Notamacropus eugenii: one gene and its partners. The protein of the gene in region 2 interacts with the protein of the main gene of each other region in a biochemical or structural test. Links are inferred from orthologs where the notes say so. Each region holds a gene or a part of one and is shown on either strand. Other genes may lie near its edges. The genes, in order: BOLA3, GLRX5 and BOLA1.

What was found.
Region 1: the proteins of GLRX5 (region 2) and BOLA3 form a complex in vitro, tested with the Homo sapiens proteins (4 studies listed by BioGRID and IntAct, with this or other methods). The link is inferred for Notamacropus eugenii from reciprocal best matches to the Homo sapiens genes GLRX5 and BOLA3.
Region 3: the proteins of GLRX5 (region 2) and BOLA1 form a complex in vitro, tested with the Homo sapiens proteins (2 studies listed by BioGRID). The link is inferred for Notamacropus eugenii from reciprocal best matches to the Homo sapiens genes GLRX5 and BOLA1.

Annotation. Positions count from the first base shown.
Region 1 is NC_092872.1:750,685,095-750,693,728, forward strand, and holds the start of BOLA3 (bolA-like protein 3), read left to right. Parts: upstream 1-5,156; 5' UTR 5,157-5,431; coding exon 5,432-5,473; intron 5,474-8,634. UniProt on the Homo sapiens protein: Acts as a mitochondrial iron-sulfur (Fe-S) cluster assembly factor that facilitates (Fe-S) cluster insertion into a subset of mitochondrial proteins. Probably acts together with NFU1.
Region 2 is NC_092872.1:363,202,467-363,209,944, forward strand, and holds the start of GLRX5 (glutaredoxin-related protein 5, mitochondrial), read right to left. Parts: upstream 3,094-7,478; 5' UTR 3,001-3,093; coding exon 2,709-3,000; intron 1-2,708.
Region 3 is NC_092873.1:303,721,514-303,727,992, reverse strand, and holds BOLA1 (bolA-like protein 1), read right to left. Parts: upstream 2,309-6,479; 5' UTR 2,159-2,308; exon of another isoform or gene 2,110-2,158; intron 1,571-2,109; 5' UTR 1,568-1,570; coding exon 1,142-1,567; 3' UTR 1,035-1,141; downstream 1-1,034. UniProt on the Homo sapiens protein: Acts as a mitochondrial iron-sulfur (Fe-S) cluster assembly factor that facilitates (Fe-S) cluster insertion into a subset of mitochondrial proteins. Probably acts together with the monothiol glutaredoxin GLRX5. May protect cells against oxidative stress.

The DNA of each region.
Region 1 (8,634 bases), about 390 Mb from region 2:
CTTTCTGAGTTGGGGTAACATTCTGTGACCCCATTAGGACACCCTTGGCAGTGATGGGTCCAGTCTGAGTGGCTAATTATCAAGGGACCACTCTGCTTTATGTAGCTCACAGGAGTATCCAGGTGCAAAGATGACTCACAGAATGTCAGGATAGAAAAGTACCTTAGACCCTAGAATGGAGAGTATGATCCATAAAAAGTGCTTTAGATATCAGAATGCTGAGTGTCAGAGGTTGGAAGGGCTCTAGAACACAGCAGCTTTAGAACATAAAAGTTGTTTCAATTTTAGTCCTGTCCAAGTCTTCATGACACCTTTTGGGGGTTTTCTTGGCAAAGATTCTGGAATGGTTCCCCATTTCCTTCTTCAGCTCATCTTACAGACAAGGAAACTGAGGCAAACCGGGTCAAGTGACTTGCCCAGAGTCATGCCGTTACTAAGTGTCTGAGACTGAATTTGCCCTCAGGTCTTCCTGATCCTAGCCCCACTGTTCCAGGCACTGTGCTACCTAGCTGCCAGAATATAAAATGCAAAATATCAAAACTGAAATGGACTTTAGAACTCATAGTTTCAGAGTTAGAAGGGCTTTAGAACACAAAAGGCAATGCTTCAAAGTTAAAATGGAAGAGGGCCAAACTGGAAAAAAGCTTCTGAATAGATGGAGCATTTAGAACACAGCAAGCATTTATTAAGAACCTACTATGTGCACTGGGCTACCTGCTGGGAACTCAAAGAAAGGTCCACAGTTTCATAAGGGAGACAACTGTGGACAGACAAAATATAGAAAGGTTAAATTGGGGGTAGTCTCAGAGTGAAGTGCTAGGGTTAAGGAGGTCCAGTAAAGGTTTCTTGGAGAAGGCAGGATTTTAGCTGAAACTTGGGAACAAGGAAAAAATAGGGGCCAGAGATGAGGAGAAACAGAGTTCTGAGCATGGGGGACAGCCAGTGAAAATGCCCTGAGTCCCATGTGACAGGAACAGCCTGGAACCCAGTCACTGGTTTGAAGAGTATGCACTGAGGAGTTAGGTAGGAATATGTTAGGTTACTAAAGGCTTTGAATGCCAAACAGTATTTCACACTTATTTTTGGTAAGAGGGAACCACTGGAGTTTATTGAATGGGATAGGTGAGACTTGTGCTTTAGGAAGATTACTTTGACAGTTGAGTGGAGGTATCTACTGGTATCTACAGAGCTTTGAGGCAAGGAGACCAACCAGAAAGCTATTGCAATAGTCCAGGAGGCAGTTGACAATAAATTCAGAATATCAAAGCTGAAATGAACTCTAGAACACCAGAACTTGGAAGGGTTTGGAACATGCAGAGTCTGAAGTGGAGAAGACTTTAGAACACAGAACACAGTGTCAAGTGAATGGATTTCAGACCTCATACTCTGAGAGTTGGGAAGGCTCATGAACACAGAATGTGTTGACAGTAGGACTCAGAGTATTAAGACAAAAATAGATCCAGTGACACTGGTCTCTGCCTGGCTGTTCCCCTAACAGGATACTCCATTTCCCCAATTCAGGCATTTTTCTCTGGCTGTACCCGAAGCCTAGAATGCTCCTCATCTCTACCTCCAAGCTTTAAGTCCCAACAAAAATCCCATCTTCTATTTTTTTCTTAATAGTATTTTATTTTTTTCCAATTACTTGTAAAGAAAATTTTCAACCTTCACTTTTATAAGATTTTGAGTTCTAAATTTTTTCTCCCTCCCTCCTCTGCCCCCTCCCCAAAATGTCAAGCAATCTGATATAGGCTTGCCAGGCCTAGAGGCCTGAGGGCTACCCGAGTCTTCCCTTACCTCACCTCCCGAGGTCTTCGGTTGGCCAATCCGGATGCTCGTATGAGAGAAAGGACGTTCCAGAGTCGAACAAGGGTTGAGCTTTATTTCAGGGTCTAGTTACAAGTGCAGGGGAATTCTTCCTTAGGAGGGAGTGAAGAATCTCCCAAGGAGGCAAAGATCTTACAATAAGAGATTGGAAGTAGAAGTATAAGTGGGGAGAGAGGGGGAGGGGAGAGAAGAGAGAGGAAAAGCGGAGCCTTCTGTCCTGTCAGCTCCGCGCCCCTCCGCCAAGTGAACTTTCAGGCTTTCCTGATCCTACTTAAACTCTTCAGCAGCATAGTTTGCATCTGAATACCGTGCTGTTAGATAACAATAGTGTGCCCAGATCTGGGACAATCTCGAGGGCGGGGAGAGCTCTCTCCCATCACGTTTCTCACGGGAAGAGGCGGAAATACACGAGATAGCTCGGTTCACCTCGATTCCCAGTCGTTTCCTGGGGGGGTCTCGTGAGAACTCTAAGATTTAGAAGTTCCCACCTTTACCCGCCCGAGACTGTCCACCTGGAATTGAGCTTCCATCCCCAGCATAGGCTATACATGTACAATCATATTAAACATATTTCCACATTAGTCATGTGAAAGAAAAATCAGAACAAGAGGGAAAAAACACAAAAAACCCAACAAAATGACATTTAAAAAGTGAAAATAGTATGCTTCGTCTTCATTCAGACTCCATAGTTCTTTCTCTGGACATGGACAGCATTTTCCCTCATGAGTCTTTTGGGTTGTTTTCATCATTGTATTTATTACTCAGAAGAACTATGTCTATCATAGATGATCATTGTACAATGTTACTGTTACTGTGTACAATGTTCTTCGCTCACTTCACTAGGCATCAGTTCATGTATTTCCAGGGTTTTCTGATATCTGCCTGCTCATCATTTTTTTTAAAAAAATTTATTTTTAATTTTCAACATTCACCTCGATAAGATTTTGAATTACAAATTTTCTCCCCATTTCCCCCTTCCCCCCCACCCCAAGATGGCATGTAAATTGATATAGGCTTAACATGTGCCTTCATATTAAATCTATTTTCGCATTTTCCATCATGAGTCTTTTGGGGTTGTCTTAGATCCTTGCATTGCTAAGAAGAGATAAGTCTATCAAAGGGAGTCATCATATAATGTGACTGTTACTCTGCACAATGATCTCCTGGTTCTGCTCATTTCCCTCAACATCGGTTCATGTGTCTTTCCAGGTTTTTCTGAAGACCACCATTTCTTATAGAACAGTAGTATTCCATTACATTCATATACACAACATATTCAGCCATTCCCCATTTGATGAGCATCCCTTCAATTTCCAATTTTGCCATCACAAAAAGAGCTTCCATAAAGAATTTTGTACATTGTGGGTCCTTTGTTGTGATCTTTTTGGGATACAAACCTAGTAGTGGTGTGTTCGTCCTTCGTTGCCGAAGAAGACCATGCCATCAGAGAAATAATGACATGACTTGAACTTGATTTTGTTCTGAGTGAGGGAGGGCTGTGTAGGTCACCAGCCTCACTTTTCCTCCAGAGCCATCTGAATCCAGTGACCTGATATTCATCAGGATGACTGGAGATGACCCAGGATCAGGCAATTGGGGTTAAATGATTTGCCCAAGGTCACACAGCTAGCGAGTGTCAAGTGTCTGAGGTGAGATTTGAACTCAGGTCCTCCTGACTCCTGCACTGGTGCTCTATCCACTGCACCACCTAGCTGCCACTACCTAGTAGTGGTGTTGCTGGATCAAAGGGTATGTACAGTTTCATAGACCTTTGGGCATAGTTCCAAATTGTTCTCCAGAATGGTTGGATTAATTCACAACTCCACCAAAAGTACATTAGTACTCGAATTTTCTCATATTCTCTCTAACATTTGTCATTTTCCTTTTTTTGTCATGTTAGCCTATCTTATATAAGTATGAGGCAGTACCTCAGAGTTGTTTTAATTTGCATTTCTCTAATCAATGGTGATTTAGAGCATTTTTCATGTGACTGTAGATAACTTTAATTTCATCTGAAAATTGCCTGTTCATATCTATTGACCATTTAAAATTGGGGAATGAGTTGTATTACTATAAATTTGACTCAGTTTTCCATATATTTTAGAAATGAGGCCATTATTAATGACACTGGTTATAAAAATAGTTGCCAAGCTTTCTCATTTCCTTCTAATCTTAGCTGCATTAGTTTTGTGCAAAACCTTTTAAATGTAAGATAATCAAAATTATCCATTTTGCATTTCATAACGTTCTTTATCTCGTTTAGTCCTAAATTCTTCCCTTCTCCATTAATCTGACAGGCAAACTATTCCTTGCTTTCTTAATTTGCTGATGTTATCACCGTTTGTCTAAATTATGTACCCATTATTGATCTTATCTTGGTATACAGGGTAAGATGTTGGTCTATGCCTAGTTTCTGCCATGCCATTTTCCAGTTTTCCCAGGTTTTGTCCAATAGTGAGTTCTTATGTCCGAAGCTGGAGTGTTTGTGTTTATCAGACAGTAGATTGCTCTAGTCGTTGATTACGTCTTGTGTACCTGACCTATTCCACTGATCCATTTCTCTAAAATCCCACCTTCTACAAGAAGCCTTTCCCTTTTCTAGTCCTTTGCTCTCTTAATTATTTCCGATTCATCTATTGCTTGTTTGCAGGTATTTGTTCGATTGTTGTCTCCCTCACTGGACAGAGACTGCCTTTTGCCTTTCTGTCCCCAGCGCTTAGCACAGAGCCTGGCCTGTGGTGCAGTTAATTAGAGTTAATTGACGTTAGCATACTGAGCTCCAGGGCTGAAACTGACTTTGGAATGTTGAAAATCCAGCCGAAGTTGACCAAAGAAAGCAGACGTAGGGGCTGAAACTGACTTTAGAACGTGGAGTATCCGAGTGGAAACTGACCAAAGAACGCACACCTAGGAGCCAAAACTGACTTTAGAACGTGGAGTATCCGAGTGGAAACTGACCAAAGAACGCACACCTAGGAGCCAAAACTGACTTTAGAACGTGGAGTATCCGAGTGGAAACTAATCAAAGAACGCAGATCTAGGGCAGAAACTGACTTTAGAACTTGAATATCCAAGCTGAAACTGACTTTAGAACGTGGAGTATCCGAGTGGAAACTGACCAAAGAACGCACACCTAGGAGCCAAAACTGACTTTAGAACGTGGAGTATCCGAGTGGAAACTAATCAAAGAACGCAGATCTAGGGCAGAAACTGACTTTAGAACTTGAATATCCAAGCTGAAACTGACTTTAGAACGTGGAGTATCCGAGCCGGAAGAGGCAGAGTAGCCCGGGAGAGACCTGGCCTGCAGAAGCTTCCAGACATGCTACGCGAAACGGACTTTGCCCCGCCGCGGGGGGAAGCCCAAACTGGCCCAGAACGCCGCGGGGTGCTCGCCCCTCCTCCCGTCCCGCCCCTCCACCCCTCCGGGCGGGCCGGCCGAGGGGGCGGCCTCCGAGGCGACAGAGGGCGGGCTCGGCCGCCGGCTCTCTCCCCGCCCCCGGCCCCGGCCCGGCCCTCTCGCCTTCCCCAGCGTGGGTGACTTTGAGCCGGCGTGAGTCGCAGGCTCCGCACGGCCTCTCCCCGCCCCGCCCCCGCGCCCGTTATGGCGGCTTCTCATCTTCTCTGCGGGAGGAACCTCGGTGTGGTGAGAGCCGGGGGCCGGAGGGAGAGGGGGAACCCTACGCGGGGAAGGGGCCCTTGGGAGAGGGGGGGCTCAGGTGGCGGAAGGGAGTGATGAGACATGAAGCAGGGAGGAGACGAGAGGGACGGGCGGGCGCCGACCTAAGGCGTAAAGATCCGAGGCTCCGAGGGGGTCACGTTTGGGGGGAGGGGCGGAGCAGGGGCAAGGTGACTCCAGAGACTAGAACTGGAAGACCGAAGTCTCAGAGTGGGGGAGGGGATGTAGCTAAAGCAGACTAATGGGGTGCGGAGGCTGAAGATTGGGGACAGGAGGGTGTCTTTGCTGAGACTTAGAGGAGGGGGGGAGGGGAATGTGTATTGGAGGAAGCCAAACGGATCGTCTCTGACACCAGGGAGAAAGCCCCCCTGAAATTTGGCCGCAGTGACCCCAAGGACTTCCTGGCTTTATAGAGGAGGACACAGGCCCGGAGACAGGAAGGGAGGTTAGCTCCCAGGCAACCCGACATGTACAGACCTCCAGCCTTTGCAAAGCGCTTTACAAATACCTCTTTTTATTCTCAGAACTACCCTGGGAGGTAGGTGCTATTGTCCCCCATTTTATAGATGAGGAAACCGAGCCTAAGAGATCAGTGACTTGCCCAGGCTCACACAGGTAGGACGGGACTGGCCCTGTGACTTCACTGGTCCAGGAAACTCCCAGTGTCAATGCCGGCGAGGTAACACTTCTTCCACCCCCCTGGAGCCCTGAGAAGTTAATGACTTGCCTACAGTCTCACTGTCAGAACTCGAATTCAGGTCTTGGCCCTGCCATGGAAAATGATTATGGGAGGGAAGGCCCTAAAAAAGGTGGTGCTTGAGCTGTGACTTGAAGGGAGGGAGGAAAGGGATTCAGGAGGTTGGGGGGTGGGGAGAAGAGGTGCATTCTACTGTGGGGGACAGCCAGTGCAAAGATGGTGCTGGGAGGGGGATGATACAGAAGAGTAGCCCTCTATCTGTGTGTGGTGACTTCCCCATGGTTCATTTATTGTTAGCACAGTGCCTGGTATGCAGTAGATGTTTAATGCTTGCAGCTTGATTGGTAAGAAAACTGAAGATAGGCAGCGGTAAAGTGTTAGCCCAGAGTTGTTCTCCAGGCACACAAGCACCAGATTCCCACTCTATCCTAGGCTGTGCTGCTACTCCTGTCCTCAGAAATCTGTGACTCCCCATTGTGCCTCCTGAGGAGAGTCCCAACTTAGTACCTTAGCCTTTAGTTCAATTCAGCCATATTTATTGATTGCATAATGCTAGACCCTGAGGATACAGAGACAAAACCCACACAGACCCTGCCTGTGGGAACTGACATTTTGTGGGGGCACTATTGATGGCCTGTGTGGACATGGAAAAAGATGTGGACAAAGGAAGGCCAGCTGGAGCATCAGGGGAGCATCACAGGAAGTGGTGGCAGGACAGTGGGGGACACATGTCATGCCTATGAACTTAGGGAGGCAAGAGATGGCTGATGAGTTCATGAATGATGTACACCTCCCTCCCCCAGTATGGCTGGGCCATGGAGGGCTTGAGGAGAATCCTGTCAGGATAGCAGAGGACCTTAGGTGCCACCCAAGGGATAAGGGAGGGAGGCAACCTAGTATCTTGTTGGTGTAGAGAACTCCCAGGGGAGGAACTTCCCTCTACTAGTACAAGTCAACACCTCCTTTGCAAGGTCAGGGCTTAGGTTATGACACTTGCCCAGGGTCACACAGCCAGTGGGAGCCCAACATGGGAAGCCACAGAAATGCCATGGAATTTGTGGGAAGCCACAGAGATGCCATAGAATTTGCTTTAGTCTAGATCTAGGGAATTCCAGAAAGGTTTTTGATTAGGAGAATTATATGGCCAGATTCCTGTAGCAGCTGGTGGAGAATGGATTTCCATTCATGGGTGCAGTCAGGTTGAAGGTGTGCCCAACTGAGAGGTCTTCTAGGGACCAGAACCCTCCTTTTATGGAGGAGGAAACTGAAACCCAGTGAAGCTCAGTGACTTGTCCAAAGTCTTTTGATGCTAGAGCCAGTGGAGAGGAGGATCATCTTGGGACACCATAGTGCATAGAGCATCAGGACAGGTGTCAGGAAGACCCGAGTTCAAATCCAGCCTCAGACACTTACTGGCTATGTGACTCTGGGCAAGTCATTTCACCCTGTTTGCCTCAGTCTCCTCATCTATAAAATGAGCTGGAGAAGGAAATGGCAAGTCACTCCAGCATCTCTGCCAAGAAGACCCCCCACATGGGGTCACAGAGTCAGACATGACCGAAACAACTGAACACCAACATAAATGGAGAGAAACAAAGAAGTCCCACCTAGGCAAGATATCTTGGAGGTCAAGTCCGGGTGGGCAGTGATTGGATCCGAAGGTAGATGTAACCTGAGCTTCTTGAGGACAGGGTTAGGGTTAGCTTTGTGGTGTTTACTAATACTTGTTGATTAATAATTGATGAAATGGGAGCTAAAAAGATGCCCTCCGGGTTAGGAGCCTCTGAGGTTCCCTTCCACCCACTCCCTATTGGAGCATGTTTGTACTCAGTTATCTATCCCTATTCAAATGGAAATTCATTGAGGGCAGGCTTTTGTTTTGCTTTCTTGGATCCACAGTGCTTGGCACATGGTAAATTCTTCATGAGTGTTTGATTTGGAGAGTAGTCTTGCCGTCCTCAAAAATAAGGATGTTTGCCATTGGAGTGCCAGTGTTGGCAATTGGAGTTGGCAAAGGTTGGAAGAGAGATGATTCATTCTATGCTGAGCACACAGTAGGTGTTTCATTAATGTTTGCGGACTGCCTGTCTGACAGGCTGAGTGGAACATGTGGAACTCGGAGGAGGAGCTGTCCAGCAGCCAGCTAGCTGGTGACGTGGTGCCGGAATGACTGAGAGGAATGAGGGCTGGGTGTGCACACGTTTGAGTCATCAGTGATTTGACAAAAAGGGAGGAGGGCAGAGCTAGAAAAGAGCCAGGACTGGGAGGAGAGAGTTTCCACCTGGATGACTGGCAGGTCAACCACAGGAACAGGGGGAGCAGGAGGTAAGTTTTGCTGGGCATCGCACAGGGTAAATACCAACGGATCAGAAGAGACGTCCAGGCTCACCTAAACCTGATGGAGGATCATCCCTGACAGCTCCCAGGCAGC
Region 2 (7,478 bases):
GGGACAGCAATCCAGGCATGGGGTGCAAAAAGCTGGAACATGGGAGACAGTGTAATGTGTGAGCAATAGTAAGCAAGCCATTGTAGCTGTACAGTGGAATATGTGGAGGGGACAGGAAAGATAGCGTGGGGCCAAGTTGTAAAGAGCTTTAAATGCAAGGTAAATTTATATTTGATACTAGAGGCAAAAAGGAAACCAATGGAGTTTACTGAGGAATGGGGATGGAGAAGGGTGTGCTGGACAAAGACAGAACTAAACTTTAAGAAAATCACTTTGGAAGCAGTGTAGAAGATGGACTGGAAGGGAGAAACTTGAGGCAGGGAGACCAATTAGAAGGTTATTTCAATAATCCAGGTCAGAAGTGATGAAGTACTCAATCAATTAACTATGTTGCAAGATTGACTTATTGGCAGAATAGTGGTGTTTTCAACAGTAATGGCAAAGTTCAAGAAGGGAGGGTTTAGGGGTAAAGATAAGTTCTGTTATGAACACAGTAGTGCTTTAAGGTTTATAAAATGCTTCACACACACATCAGGGTGTCCACAAGGTCAGAGCTATTTTAATAATATCAGGAAAGTTTAATTTAGAATATTGTAAATATCAACAGATTCAACCCACATAAAAGTTCTTTGGGAAGTCCTGAAATCAAAAAGGTTGAGAACTATCCTCACAGAGTCTAGTGTCTGTAGATGAAAATCCAGAAAAGGAGACTAAGAGAGAATGTTCAGATGAGTAGGAGAACCAGGAAAAAGTAATGCAATAAAGGGGAGAATCTTGTAGATGATCAAGTGTCAAATGCTACAGAGAAGTTAAGAAGAATAAGGATTTCAAAAATGTATTTAGATTTGGTAAATAAGAAATCAATGGAGTAGTTTAAGCTGAATGAATCAAGTGAGAGGAAAGGAAGTAGAGTTGTTTAGTGCAGACAGCTTTCTCAAGGAGCACTTTTCTCAAGCAAGCACTTCAGCCAAGCACAGTAAGATCAATTGAGGGTATTTTAAGGAAAGGAGATATTTTGTAGGCAGTGAGGAAGAATCAGAATCTTGAAGGAAGTCAGAATGTGGAAATAAGGAGGAAAAGTACGTGAGGCATGGGGGACAGCAAGAGAAAAGCTACACAGTTGGGAGGGAGACTGTCATAGCTGAGAAACAGCAAGAAGGTTGGTGTTCCTAGATCACAACAGCACATGGAAAGGCGTAAAGTGTAAGAAGATTGGGAAGTTAAGAGGGGGCTAAGTTGTGAAGGGCTTTAAAAGGCAAACAGAGTATTTTTATCTGAATCCTGGAGGTAAAAGAGAGAGCCACTGGAGTTATGGGGGTGCAGGGCAATATGGGAAGACCTGAAGGAGAGAAACAAACCAACAGGATATTGTAGTAGTCCAGGTGATGAGGGCCTGCACTACATGGCAACTGTCTGAAAAAAAGCAGACATAGAGAAGAGATGCAGTGAAGGCTGAAACGCCAAAATCTGATAACAGACTGTGTGAGATGAATTCAAGTAGAAAGTAACAGAGCTTTCCAGTTTTATTTCAGAGTTCTCCTTTATATAGTCTTCATTCTAGGCAAACTGAACATTAACTAGTTCTTTCCTGAACTCAGCATTCTGAGCTTCTACAGAATCACAGATTTAAGGCTGGAAGAAGAGTTGAAAGGCCTGTCAGGTCCTTCACAAGGAACTAAGGTCCAGAGGGGTTAAGTGACTTGCCAAAGTTTTATTATGTTATAAGGAGTAAATTTGAGGTTTGAGCCCAGGTCCACTCAAAATTCAACATTTTTTCCACAAGTTATCTCCCATGCTGGAATAAATTCCCTCTTCATTTCCATTAATCCATATTTTATCTTTCTCCAAGAAGCTTGCCTGGACCCCCCTACCATTTACTTTTCTGTTTATGTTTCGACTCTCAGTGGGATATAAGCTCAACTGTATTGTTAGATATCCTGAGACCACAACCATAACTTCATGAAACTTCTGCTTTTCTAGTGTAACTACATTAATGCTAGTAGGTCATACACGATGTTCATGACAAATAACAGACCTAGGGCAAGTCTTAATGGAACTTAAAGTAAAAGACTGATGGAACACGAAATTGTAAGCTCCACAACAGTACACTTCCTCTAGCTTTTTAAAAAAAAAATCTTTCCCAGTGCTTAACAGTAACAACAGTAGTGGTAATAATAATAGTGACAACCAGTATTCTACATAGAGCTTACTAAGCACTTTACAATTATTATCTCATTTGGTCCGAAAAACAACCCCCGAGGCAGGTGCTGTTATTATCCCAGTTCACAGAGGAGAACACGGACGCAGCCAAGCGTCGGAGGCCGCCTCTGGACTTCGCTCCAGAAAATCCAGCCTCAGGGCCGAGGGCCCGGGCCGGGCTCCCTAGGGAGGCCTGCTCAGCATGGAGGCAGCACCAAGTTAGGAAGTCGGGAAGGTCCCAGAGACCTCGGATCGATACCACCGTCAACAACAGGCGGCATTCATGCCAATCACCTGGTAGCCGCCAGACTGCGGGAAGCTGCGGTCTCGGACACCGCCCCGCCCCCTCCCCCGGCAGTGCTGGACCCGGGCACCCCCTTTTCTCCTCCCCCACCCTCATTCCAGAAGCTTATCAATGTCCCGTGAGCGCGAGGAACCCGAGGCGAGGAGGAAGGGGCCTGGCTCCCAGCAGCTCGGGCCCCGCTCGCGACCCTTCGATCCCGCCTGACCTTGACGGAGGTCGGGATCGTCCAGCACGTTGTAGGCCGCGTAGTTGGAGACGCCGTGCAGCCGCAGGATCTGCACCACGGCGTTGCTGAAGCCGCACTGGGGCTCCTGGGGGGTCCCCTTTAAGAACACCACCACTTTGTCCTTCTTCACGAGAGCATCAAGATGCTCCCTGGAGGCCGAGCCCGACCCCCCGGGGCCCGAGCTCTGAGTCCGCAGTGCCGGACCCCGCAGGAGGAAGCCGCGCCCCAACTGGAGCAGAGCTACAGACACTCGGCCTAAAGACCCGCTCATCTCCCGCAGCCACACGTCCTCCCGACCCAGAACTAGGGAACCGTTCCTCGGTCCCAGCACCCGCGCCTCCTTGTCCCGCCCCCCAGCTGTGGCTCCATTGGTCAAAGATTTGAGAACAAATGTGGATTAGAAGAAGTTTACCTGTCAGTCCTTGGAAATGACCAATCATTTCACTGGGCCCCTGGCGGGGGGCGGGGATAAGAGATGGTGTACAGTCTCTACGCCTTCCACCACGCTCCGCCGTTTTTCTTTCGCCTATTGATAACCTATTTTTACGTCGATTGGCGGTCCCAGGTGCCCGTCGGTCAGGATTGGAAGCCAGTGATACGTAACAAGGGAGAATAAAGATTTTCCTGCGAAAAAACTGGTTGGCTGGGTTATTTGGGGGGCGGGCTGTGGGAGGATCGAGAAAACTTTGTTTTCAGTTTTAACCAACTTCTCAGGAGGGGCGGGAGAAAGAGACGGTGCTGACCGCGTGTACGCCATTTCCTGTAACCGGTTCTTCCTTTTCCGGTTGATGATGACTTGGAGTTGTCATGGTAATGCGGCCCGTGAGGCCTCGGGCCTGCGGACCGGGCGGGAAAGGAGGAGAGGAGAGGCGCGTGCTCCGTCTCCATCTCTTTGCAACTAAGGTTAGTCGTTTTCGGGGCCCGGAGGAGGCGATGAAAGGGACGGGGGCAGCGTGTCTGGACTGCAGTGCGGGGGGCTGGGCCATTCCCTGACCGCGGCGGTCGGCCCTGCGCGAGCCCGGCCCCTTCTTCCTGGCATCCCGCCCTCGTGCGCAGGCTGGGGCGCCCCCTGGTGGTTGGAGCTTCCTTCTGGCCTGCGGAGGAGGAACCCTTCGGGCTAGTGCACGGTCACGTGGCGGACGCCCGCGGGGCGTGAGGATAGGTCTTCCGGATCTCAGGTGAAGTAACTGAGGCCCACAAGCTCCCGTCACCCCTCTGTTCCAGCCCCTAATCCCTTGGATTAGGTCCCAGCCGCCTCGTGGCAGTAACCTCCCTTCCACCCCAGTCCTTGCTCTGCTTAGCCGACCAAATGCTTTCCCTAAAGCCCGGGGCTGATAGTGTAGGCATTCAGGAAATTTGGGTGCTTCCCTTCTTGCCTCCTGGATAAAATATATGGAAATATATATAGATATATATATTACAATATACTACATATGTAACATATGCATATATGATTATATAGAGAGAAAAATACATAGAAAAAATTTTGTTTCCTCTTGTTCTACTTTCAAAGCCCTTCATGACTTGGTCCCAACCTGCCTTCCCATCCTCCTTATGCAGTACTCTCCAGACTCCACCGGGCTTGCTTGCTTTCTGTTCTGCTCTCATCACCTTGCCTTTGCCCTGGCTGCCCCCATGCCCAGAATCCACTCCCCCACCTTCACCTGGAATCCCTGTCCTCAAGCATCACCTGCATGAAGCCTTCCCCAGTTCTTAAAGTTACTAGTCCTCTCCTTCCCTCCTCTACTGAATTAGCCCCGCATTTATTTTGGACATGTTTATCCTTTATATGTATTTGTGTACGATCACATACACACACGTAATGAGTATGAATATATAAACAATAGATACAGATAGATATCTGTCTATAGATAGACTTACGTGTTGTTTCTCCTGGTTGAACTCAAATTCCTTGATAACAGGGACTGTTATATTTCTTTGCCTTTGTGTCTGTAGCATCTAGCACAGTGCCTGGCACATAGGCAATTAAATGTTTGCTGACTGGGGTTACATTGGCAATGAGTAATATGACAGGGGTCTAATAACCAATCTTATGGCTCTAGAATCAGTGCTCCGTATATTGCCTTCATATCCTCTGCCTGATCAAGTCAAGCCACGAATCCAGCATGGCTCCTTTTGTTCATTTTAGAGCAGAACTTCAAATTTTCCTAATTTCAGTTTTTAATTGTTATTTTTTTCAGGTTTGAGTGGCAGGGTTTAATTCAAGGAATAAAAATCATAACCATGCCTTTCAAGTTCTCTCACTGTGGAATTAACTCCAAATTGGCCCAGTTATGGAAGAAACATTGAGTAAAAGCAATTGATAATAGGAAAGGGCAGGTATAGAATTTTTTTACTCTTTTTAATTATTTGGGTTATATATGACTGTAAAGGATGTTTAATTTTGTTTGTACTATGTGTCCAGGGCCATAAGTGAAACCCACAGGAAAGGAACTCCAGAAAAGATAGGGCTTTTTCTGAAATTTTGAACAACAGACATGAGAATTTAAATATATGCCACTAATTGGTGCAGCTCATAAATTTATTGTTCCCCTTTCTGCCTAACATCAGTAAGTGATTCTGAGAAGAACATTTTTAAGTAAAACAGTTTTGGGGGCAGTGCCAAAGAAACAGTATTATAAACGGTCTGTTCATTTTCAGATAGCATTCTGTTACCATGTCTTGCTTTGTGCATTAGGGTGATGGGGCAGGAGAGTCCAGATGAGATAGGTCTTAAACTCCAGGTCTTCCTGACACCAAGGCCAGTGCTCCATCAACTATACTATGCTGCCTTTCTAGTTTGGTTATTATTCAGTTTCAAGAAATATTTGTTAAGGGTCTCTGTATTCCTGCTGAGTGCTGTAGGGAAAAGGGGAAGATTTGAGATTGAGATAAAAGACAATTTCTACCAAAGTGGAGCTTGCAGTCCAATAAAGGTCTATAACTCAGGTATATTAAGAATACTGTCATGAAGGAATTTGATCAGGATATTTCAATAGGACTTTTGTAATCTTTAGTTCATCCCTTAGCACTTAAGATCCTTTACAAAAATGTCTTAATTGTCTGCAGTCTTGGAATGCTCTGGGTTGGTTGTGCCCCTGAGTACACCTGACTTGCAGAAAGAACATATTCCAGAGGAAGCTGAGGCATGGCTGTTAAAGGACGAACAGCATTATGTGCAATATTCCTCTGACACCAACTGAATACTGTTGCCACGGTGATGGTGACTCTTCCATGTCATTATCTATCAACCAACAGTAAGAGAAGCATTGCAGTCAAGATATTGTTTAGCAAATGGAGAAATTTTTGCTGAACACTAAAAACTGCGATAAAAATGTTTAAAACCTCTAATGTTCTTTTAAAGAACATTTTTGTATCTAAATATGTTAGTGCTGTAAGGGACCTTGGAGATAATATAGTTCAACTTCTCATTTGTACCTGGAGAGATGAAATAAAACTGCTTAAATTCATACCTGGCTAAATGGCAGAGCCTGAACTTAGAACTTCAGTTTAAGTCTACTCCACCTCCAGTTATCTTGCCCATACCATGCTACTTTTGTTATTTTTTTTAACTGAAACATTGATTTAACTAGTTTCAGATGCTGTTGGCAATTCTTTAATAAACCCCTTCCTGGAAATTGATCCAAAAACACTGAAAATAAATTACAGTTCAATTATATTGAATATTTCAAGACTTTTGTTAATGAAAAGTTCTGTAGAGGCAGCATGGTGTAGTGTGAGTAGAGTGCTGGGTTTTGAATCTATGAGACCTGGATACAAATGCTACTAACAAGGGTGAGGCCTGCCCTGCTCCCCTGCCCCCCAGCAACTTTCATGTGCCTCTTGATAATTCTCTAGAATCATAGCCTTAGAGCTATAAGAGACTTCACAGGCCATTGAGCCGAACCCAGTATTCTTATAGATGAAGAATCTGAGGTACAGGAGAGTTAAGTGACTTTCTCATAGTTTCAAATGCATGAGGGTCTCCTTATCTACTAGATCATTGATGAGTTAACTGTCTTGGTGAAGAAGGAACTCTCTTTGTGTATTTATGTATTCCATGTCTGTCACTCTTGCTTCTGCTAATTTTAGGCTACAAACTTGTATAAATTGCATGATGTCTTAAATCATTTTTTCTGTGTCTTAAGTAATTTTTTGTGGTTTTTCTTTTTCAGGTTCAAATGATTCAGGGTAAATCCAAGGAACAATCATCAATATATGTAGAATTGCCTAACGTACTGAAGCTTTACCCTATATGTTTCTTTGTTGGAAGGTTTGTGTACCGTGGATTTAACATTGTCATCTAGAGTACGTTCTTTCCAAGGTGATCTAATTCATTCTTACATTATTGTAGCATGATTTCAGCAAATTTAAAGTAAGGTGCATTTTTTGTTTTTAAAGAGCATTAGGAATTTTAATTCCTGAAACCCTGAAAATATATTTTACACAGTACTTTAAACATTTCAGTGCTGTGACTTAGTTGGTGTTTGTATTCCTCTCATCTAGGCTCATTAAAACCCACAGCCAACATCAGTGATAAACCTCTCTAAAGTTAGCTGGGAATTAGGTTGCTTAGAAAATAGAAATACAGAACACTGGATGATACTCTCTATACAATGGCTGAATCCCAACTTTATTGAGGGTAAAAATGCAAACTTCTTCCACAAGAAGATTTGGCATTAGGCAATAAGGAGTAACAGGTCTTTCATCCTAGTGGTTAAAAGTAGTGTTTACATTTTTTTTTAAATA
Region 3 (6,479 bases), on a different chromosome or scaffold from region 2:
GACTTCCTGTTGCATCCAGGACCAAATATGAAATTCCCGGTTCACCTTCTAAAGTCATTCATAAGGTCACCAGCCTTCTACCTTATACCCCTCTAATCCAGTGACACTGGCTTCTTTGTTATTCTTTGAACAAGACACCCATCTCTACACTCCTTGCATTTTTTACTGGCTGTCTGTCTCCCCATGTCTGGAATGCTCTCCCTCCTCACCTTCTGGCACTCTTCAATTCTCAACTAAAATCCTACCTTCTGTAAGCAGCCTTTCTCCATCGTCTTTAATGTTAGTGTCTTGCGTCTGAAATTATCTCCTGTTTCCTGCCTATATCTTATTTGGACATAGTAATTTGCATCTTGGCTCTCCCACTAACTTGTGATCTCACTGAGGACAGACTATTTTTGGCCTTTCTTTCTATACCCAGCATTTAGCAAAGTGATAATAACTAGCATTTATATCATGCCTACTGTGTGCTGTGTTTTACAAATATCATCCCATTTAATCCTCACAATAACTCTGAGAGGGAGGTGCTATTATTATCTCTATTTTACAGTTAAGGAAAATTAAAGAAGAGATTAAGTGACTTGCCCAAGATCACACAGATGTGAATGTGAATCTTCCAGACTCCAGGTCCACTGCTCTATCCACTTGCGCCTAGTTTCCAGTGCCTGGCACAGAACATGCACTCAAATGTTTGTTGACTTGATATGGTCTCCCTAGTAATCAGTCATTTTACTTCTGTGAACCTGTTCTATCTGTAAAATGAATATAATGTACAGTGTGCCTACTTTAAGTTTATTATGAAGTTTGAAATCAATATATAACACACTTTTGTAAGCTTTCATTTCTAAATCAATGCCAGCCATCCTTCCTTGGTGTCAGTACCAAGATATCACCTTGCCCATAAGCAGGGGTTCAGATGAATTAACCAGCGGCATTTCTCTGAGCCACAGGGATAAAGCGCCACGTAACAGTCCTTTGAGTGCCTACACTATGGGACATTACTTTCTCAGCTCAGTTTCACAATCACAAAGACACGGTCAGACACAACCACATTTTTATTTTGGAAGGGCAGGCCCTAATCAAGGTCAGTCACTCTCTTCCTCCCACATATCTAGAATACACGTGTTCTCTCTTCTCCAAGGTCTCAGGAGACACCACGGAGGTCTTTCTTATTCCCACCTCGGCAGGCGGGGCTGACGTCTAGCTTGGGGTTCTCTCTCCACTGGGCAGGGGTCCGGGCTTGGATGGCCAGCGCATGCACAGGCCCAGCAAGTTCTTCAGCCAAGGCAGCATGGACCAATCTGTGGCGCTGTAGGGGGCTCAGCCCTTCGAAGCGGGAGCTCACCACGGCCACTCGGAAATGGGTCTCGCTCCCGGGGGGCACCGCGTGGCCACTGCTCTCATTACGAAGCTCCAGCACCTCTGGGCTCAGAGCCTGCTCCAGCTTGGTTCTTATTGCCGCTTCCACAGGACCCTCCATTCCTACCCTCTTTATGCAGCCACTGGACTGATAGACGCAGACGGACACAGCCCTGGGGGCCAGGAGTCGGACTCGAAGCCCACTTAGCATCAGCTACAGGAAGGATGGGGGAAGGGGAAAGGCAGGGAGGGGGGAAAGGACAAACGGGACTTAGGGACACCCCCACGCAAACCCCGACCTCACCCCTATCCCATCCCCCAAGCCAAGCTCCCAACCGCCCTCCTTCGGGCAGCCCACCCAAACTGCACCCGGCGGGGATGGGGGGGAGTAGGGGGATCCCACCCCATTCTTCTGTGACGTCGAGGAGGAGGGCTACAAAGAGCTCGGGGTGGCAGGGAAGGGGTGCCTAGAACGCAGAGAGCTGGAGGCTGGAGGTAACGAAATGGGGGGAGGTATGGGATGTGGGTGCAGAGAAGGAATGGGAGGGGGCAGAGTGCGTGCGTGCGTGTGTGCGCGCGCGCACTGCGGGGGGGCTGCTGCTGCGGACTCAATGAATGAACGTTGTATTAATTAAGCGCTTACTACGCGCACTGAGCTAAGCTCTGGCTATACAAATCGAACATTCTATTTTCTGGTATTTTCTACGTTCTAATGGCGGCAGGGAATATAGGGAAGGGTTGGGGTGCACGTACTTCAAGGGTGATGTCTGAGCCCACACTGGGTCGGTACCCCTCTTTCTACCTGTCTCTAGAGGTCGATCGCTTCCAACGCTCCTGGCTTCGTGACGCCCGCCCTGTTCCTACTTTTGCGGAGGACGCACGGGGGATTGGAGTCCCGGTTTCGGAGGCATGCCGGGAAATGGAGTCCTTATCCTCTCATTGGAGAGCGGGCGTGGGGCAAGGTTACCAAATTCCCGACATGCCGCGTAACCAGCGTCCTGAGCATTCATGGGGGTTGTAGTTCCCCCTCCTCCTTTGAGTTTCAGTTGAGCCTACAGTCAACAGAGGCTGGATGGGAGAGCTGGGTCTTCGTGAAAGAGGATCAGTTACAGTGTATTCGATTGAACTGTTTCCCTCTCCTTAGCAACAGCCCAATACTCAATTCCTTAACCAGAGACAGACGACAGGTAGTGTTGTAAATCCTTTATGCGTACCAAGAACGTCACCTTGCACACACACACATATGCATGTATGTGCCTATATGTGTATATATATGCATGCATGCGAATATATACTTATATGTATGTATGTTGTATGTAGTCAGGGGTTCAAATGAATGAATCATTGATCAAATAGCTCTCCCAAATTGCACCTGGTAGTGGGAAGACTTACTGGTATTCAGTCCCCTTCATCCTGAACCACAGGGAACTGAGGCACAGCATGGGAAAGGTAAGAATAGAGAAATAAGGAACTTGGCCTCAAGCTTGCCAATTCCTGGATTACCTTGATTCTTTAAAGGTACTTCTAACCCCATAAAGTTCTAGGCTCCTGATGGAAAATCCTTTGATTATTTTGGGAAAAAACAAGAATAAAGCCCAATATTGCTCACATTCTCCTAAGGAGAAGACTAAATATAATTACTATAAGATAATGGTTATAAGGGACCTTAGAGAGCTAATCCCTACTCTTGACATATCAGAGAACTGAGGCTTTGAAAAGTGACATGATTTATCTAAGCTCCCACAACTGGTTTAGTTTGGAGCTAGGACTAGAATTCTGGTCTGATTCCCAGGTCAGGGGCTCATTTCCTACACCATGCTATCTTACCTCTAGAGTGTCTACCTCTAGAGTTTTACTTCTCCCTAACACAAGGACACGGCAAAATACTTAATAATCTTAGCTCATTTATGTTGTGCAGTTTGTAAACTGTTAAGGTAAGCAGTACAAGTAATTAGTATCTCCATTTTATAGATAGTTGAAGAAAAAGAAGCTCAGAGATTAAATGCCTTGTCCTTGGTCACACAGCAAGTAAGTATATGAGCTGGGTTGGGAATCTGAAAGCCTTCTGACATCTAGGTTTCTACCATACTATGCCAACCCTATGTCAGCCCTGAGATACATTCACATTGCTCCTTGTATATATGTATTGTTTGCCTCATTAGAATGTAAATGTTTTTCTTTGTATTCTCTTCTGTAGTTAATAAAGACAAGGAAGTAGTCTTTATTAAGTTATTAGAATTAATTTGTGATCAGGAGATCATAACCTCTTTTATGGTTATGGGTTGAATGCAAAGTGATATGGTTCTGCCACTTCTTTTCTGACTTCTCTGGTTTCCATCACTACTATCAAATCAAAGGAGGATTAGGAATCTCAGATTTTATTTTGAAGGATATTCTAACTGGAGACACAAGAATGGGGTGGGGGAAGATACAGAATGGCTTCATATTTGAATCCAGCCAGACTATTAATAAATAATACTACTAACAGTTGAAAACTCACATTTAGATGGTGCTTTCAGGTTTACAAAATGTCTTTTTTTTTTTTTTACAATAGACCTGTGAAATACCCCAAAATGGTAGGATATGTTGGAATAGAGAACATCCTATATAATAATTGGGATATGTAACAATTCTATCCATGATGATCCCTTCAGTCACCTTTGTATGTATTAGCCCCAAGTTTTAAAATGATAATTGTTCTTATTAGTGTAGCACTTCGAAGTTTGCAAAGCATTATTTGTTCCTCACAAGGACTCTGTGAGATGGGTGCTATTATCAACACCATTTAATGGATGAGAATACTGAGGTTCAGAAGGGCTAAGTAATTTGATGCAGGTCACTCAGTTACCAAGAGCAGGAAGCAATATTTGAGTGTGAATCATTCAAATGCAGGCTTTCCTGACTGTAAACCCAAAACCATCCACTATGCCAGAATCTGTCTTTTATGACCCAATATTCCAAGTTCTGTATTTACACAGGTGGTATTCAGTCTTTGATATCCTCAGAATTTCTACCAGGAAACTCAGAATATAGCTTATATCTAGGTCTCAATAGTTTTGGTATCAACAGAATTTTCAGGGTCCTTGCTAGCTACTGACTAACTAAGCCAGCACAGTAGACAGACAGGCAAGTAAAGTACAGTTTGTCCGCTCAAGAGTGTGACACATACCATCAGTAGGTGATGGACATATGCGTGCACACACACACACATACACACACAACACGCATGCATTATTTTGTTGCTGTCATTTCTGACTTTTCATGAGCCTATTTGGGGGTTTTCTTGGAAAAGATACTGGAGTGATTTGTCATTTTCTTCTCTAGCACATTTTACAGATGAGGAAACTGAGGCAAACAGGGTTAAATGACTTGTCCAGGGTCACATATCTAGTAAATGTCTGAGGTCAGATTTGAACTCAGGTCTTCCTGATTCCAGGCCTGGCTGTTCTTGCACACACACACACACACACACACACACACACACACACACTTTTCCCCCCTTTTTACCTGAGCTATATGACCTACCTATCAAGAGCTTTTCCTCTTCTTCTTCTTTCTTTTTCTCTCCTCCTTCTTCTCCTTTTCTGTCTATGTGGGGAGTGATACCCTTATATGTGGGTGCTTTGTACAAAGGACTATAATTTTTGAACATTTGTACTTCACAAAGTATCTTGGGGTTTGGGGACTAGATCCCCTCATTTATTCATCATTTTTTTTTTCAAGAAGCTGGGACAATTAACTCTTTGTTTCATGGAGTCTTCATTTATTATTTCTTGAAATATAGCTCTGAAAAAACAGACTTTTAAAAAGCCCATTGAAATTCAAATGGAGCCACTTGACTGTGCTTATAAATCCATATCACTCTGGCTTTCATTGATTAGCCAATAATAGATCCCAGCCTAAGCCTCTTTTGCTCGTTGCTTGGGTTTTGATGATTCAGAGTAAGTGTAAATAGCAATTGTTTTCTGTTCTGGTCAGTAACTCTTCCTCTTTTGGGCTGATTCTTTTGTGATGGCAAACTAGGTGATAATCATTTAATATCACTTTTGGACTTTAGTAAGGGTCAGACCTTGAATTAATCAGTCAGAAGAAGAGCCTGGACCTAACAGTCTCTTTGTTCTCTGAAGTAAACTCAGAGAATGCCTCTTCTTCTGTCCACAAGGTCAGATGAGGCTGACTTACCATACTTTATGAGACCCCTAACTGGAGACACTATCTTGAATAGTAGGACTTTTTCCTTATCTTAATATTTTGTGGAGATATCCTGGGTATCCTGGGTCATAATTTCAATTGACATTTTCTCAACTCTCTTTTATTATTGTATTTACAACCTATTCAATTAAAAGAATTCCTTTCTCATGATACAGTGAATCACATGTAGAGGCCATAAATCTGAGGGACACAGACATCTTTGGATTCTCCTAAAACAGATTTACACCTGATCATTCTTGTATTAGTCAGTCAGAGGTTTCCTTCTGGCCCCAAGATCATGTAACTGCTAGCTTTAAGGGAATAAACAATATAAAATTAGTCTGTTTGCCTCTTTTAACCAAATTTTCAGGTTGACATAGGCCATCTTTTGTCTCAATTTTTACCTAGCTCTTAATTACTGAATGGATCAGACAACCTGAAACCTGGGAAAGATTTAGCTTAAAAAGGCCTAGGCTTCCCACCATACCCTGTCTTGACTTATGTCTTGCCACTGGACTTGGATAACTCTGGAGGAGAGAGTGAGGCTGACTTTGAGTAGCTCTGCCTCACTTAAATCCAATCCACATGGAAGACATCACCCTCCTGATGTCATTGGTCCTCTCTGAGAATGAAGGATGACCTTATGAGAATAGCAGAAAAGAAGATATGTTTATTGTTGGGTAAGATCCAGTAGGGATTCTAGGAATCCACTGCTCTCCAAACTTTCTTGATCATGTACCTAATATGTGTATGTTTATTTATAATTTATATAGTACTGTACCAATAATTATCTATTATAAATTATAATTATAAAACTTACACAAAAATACAAATTAAAAAAGGATGAGATGAAGGTAAAATATTAGATCCTAGAGTCTATAGGTAACCACTAGAGTTTACTGAATAGGTGAATGACATAGTTAAGACTACCA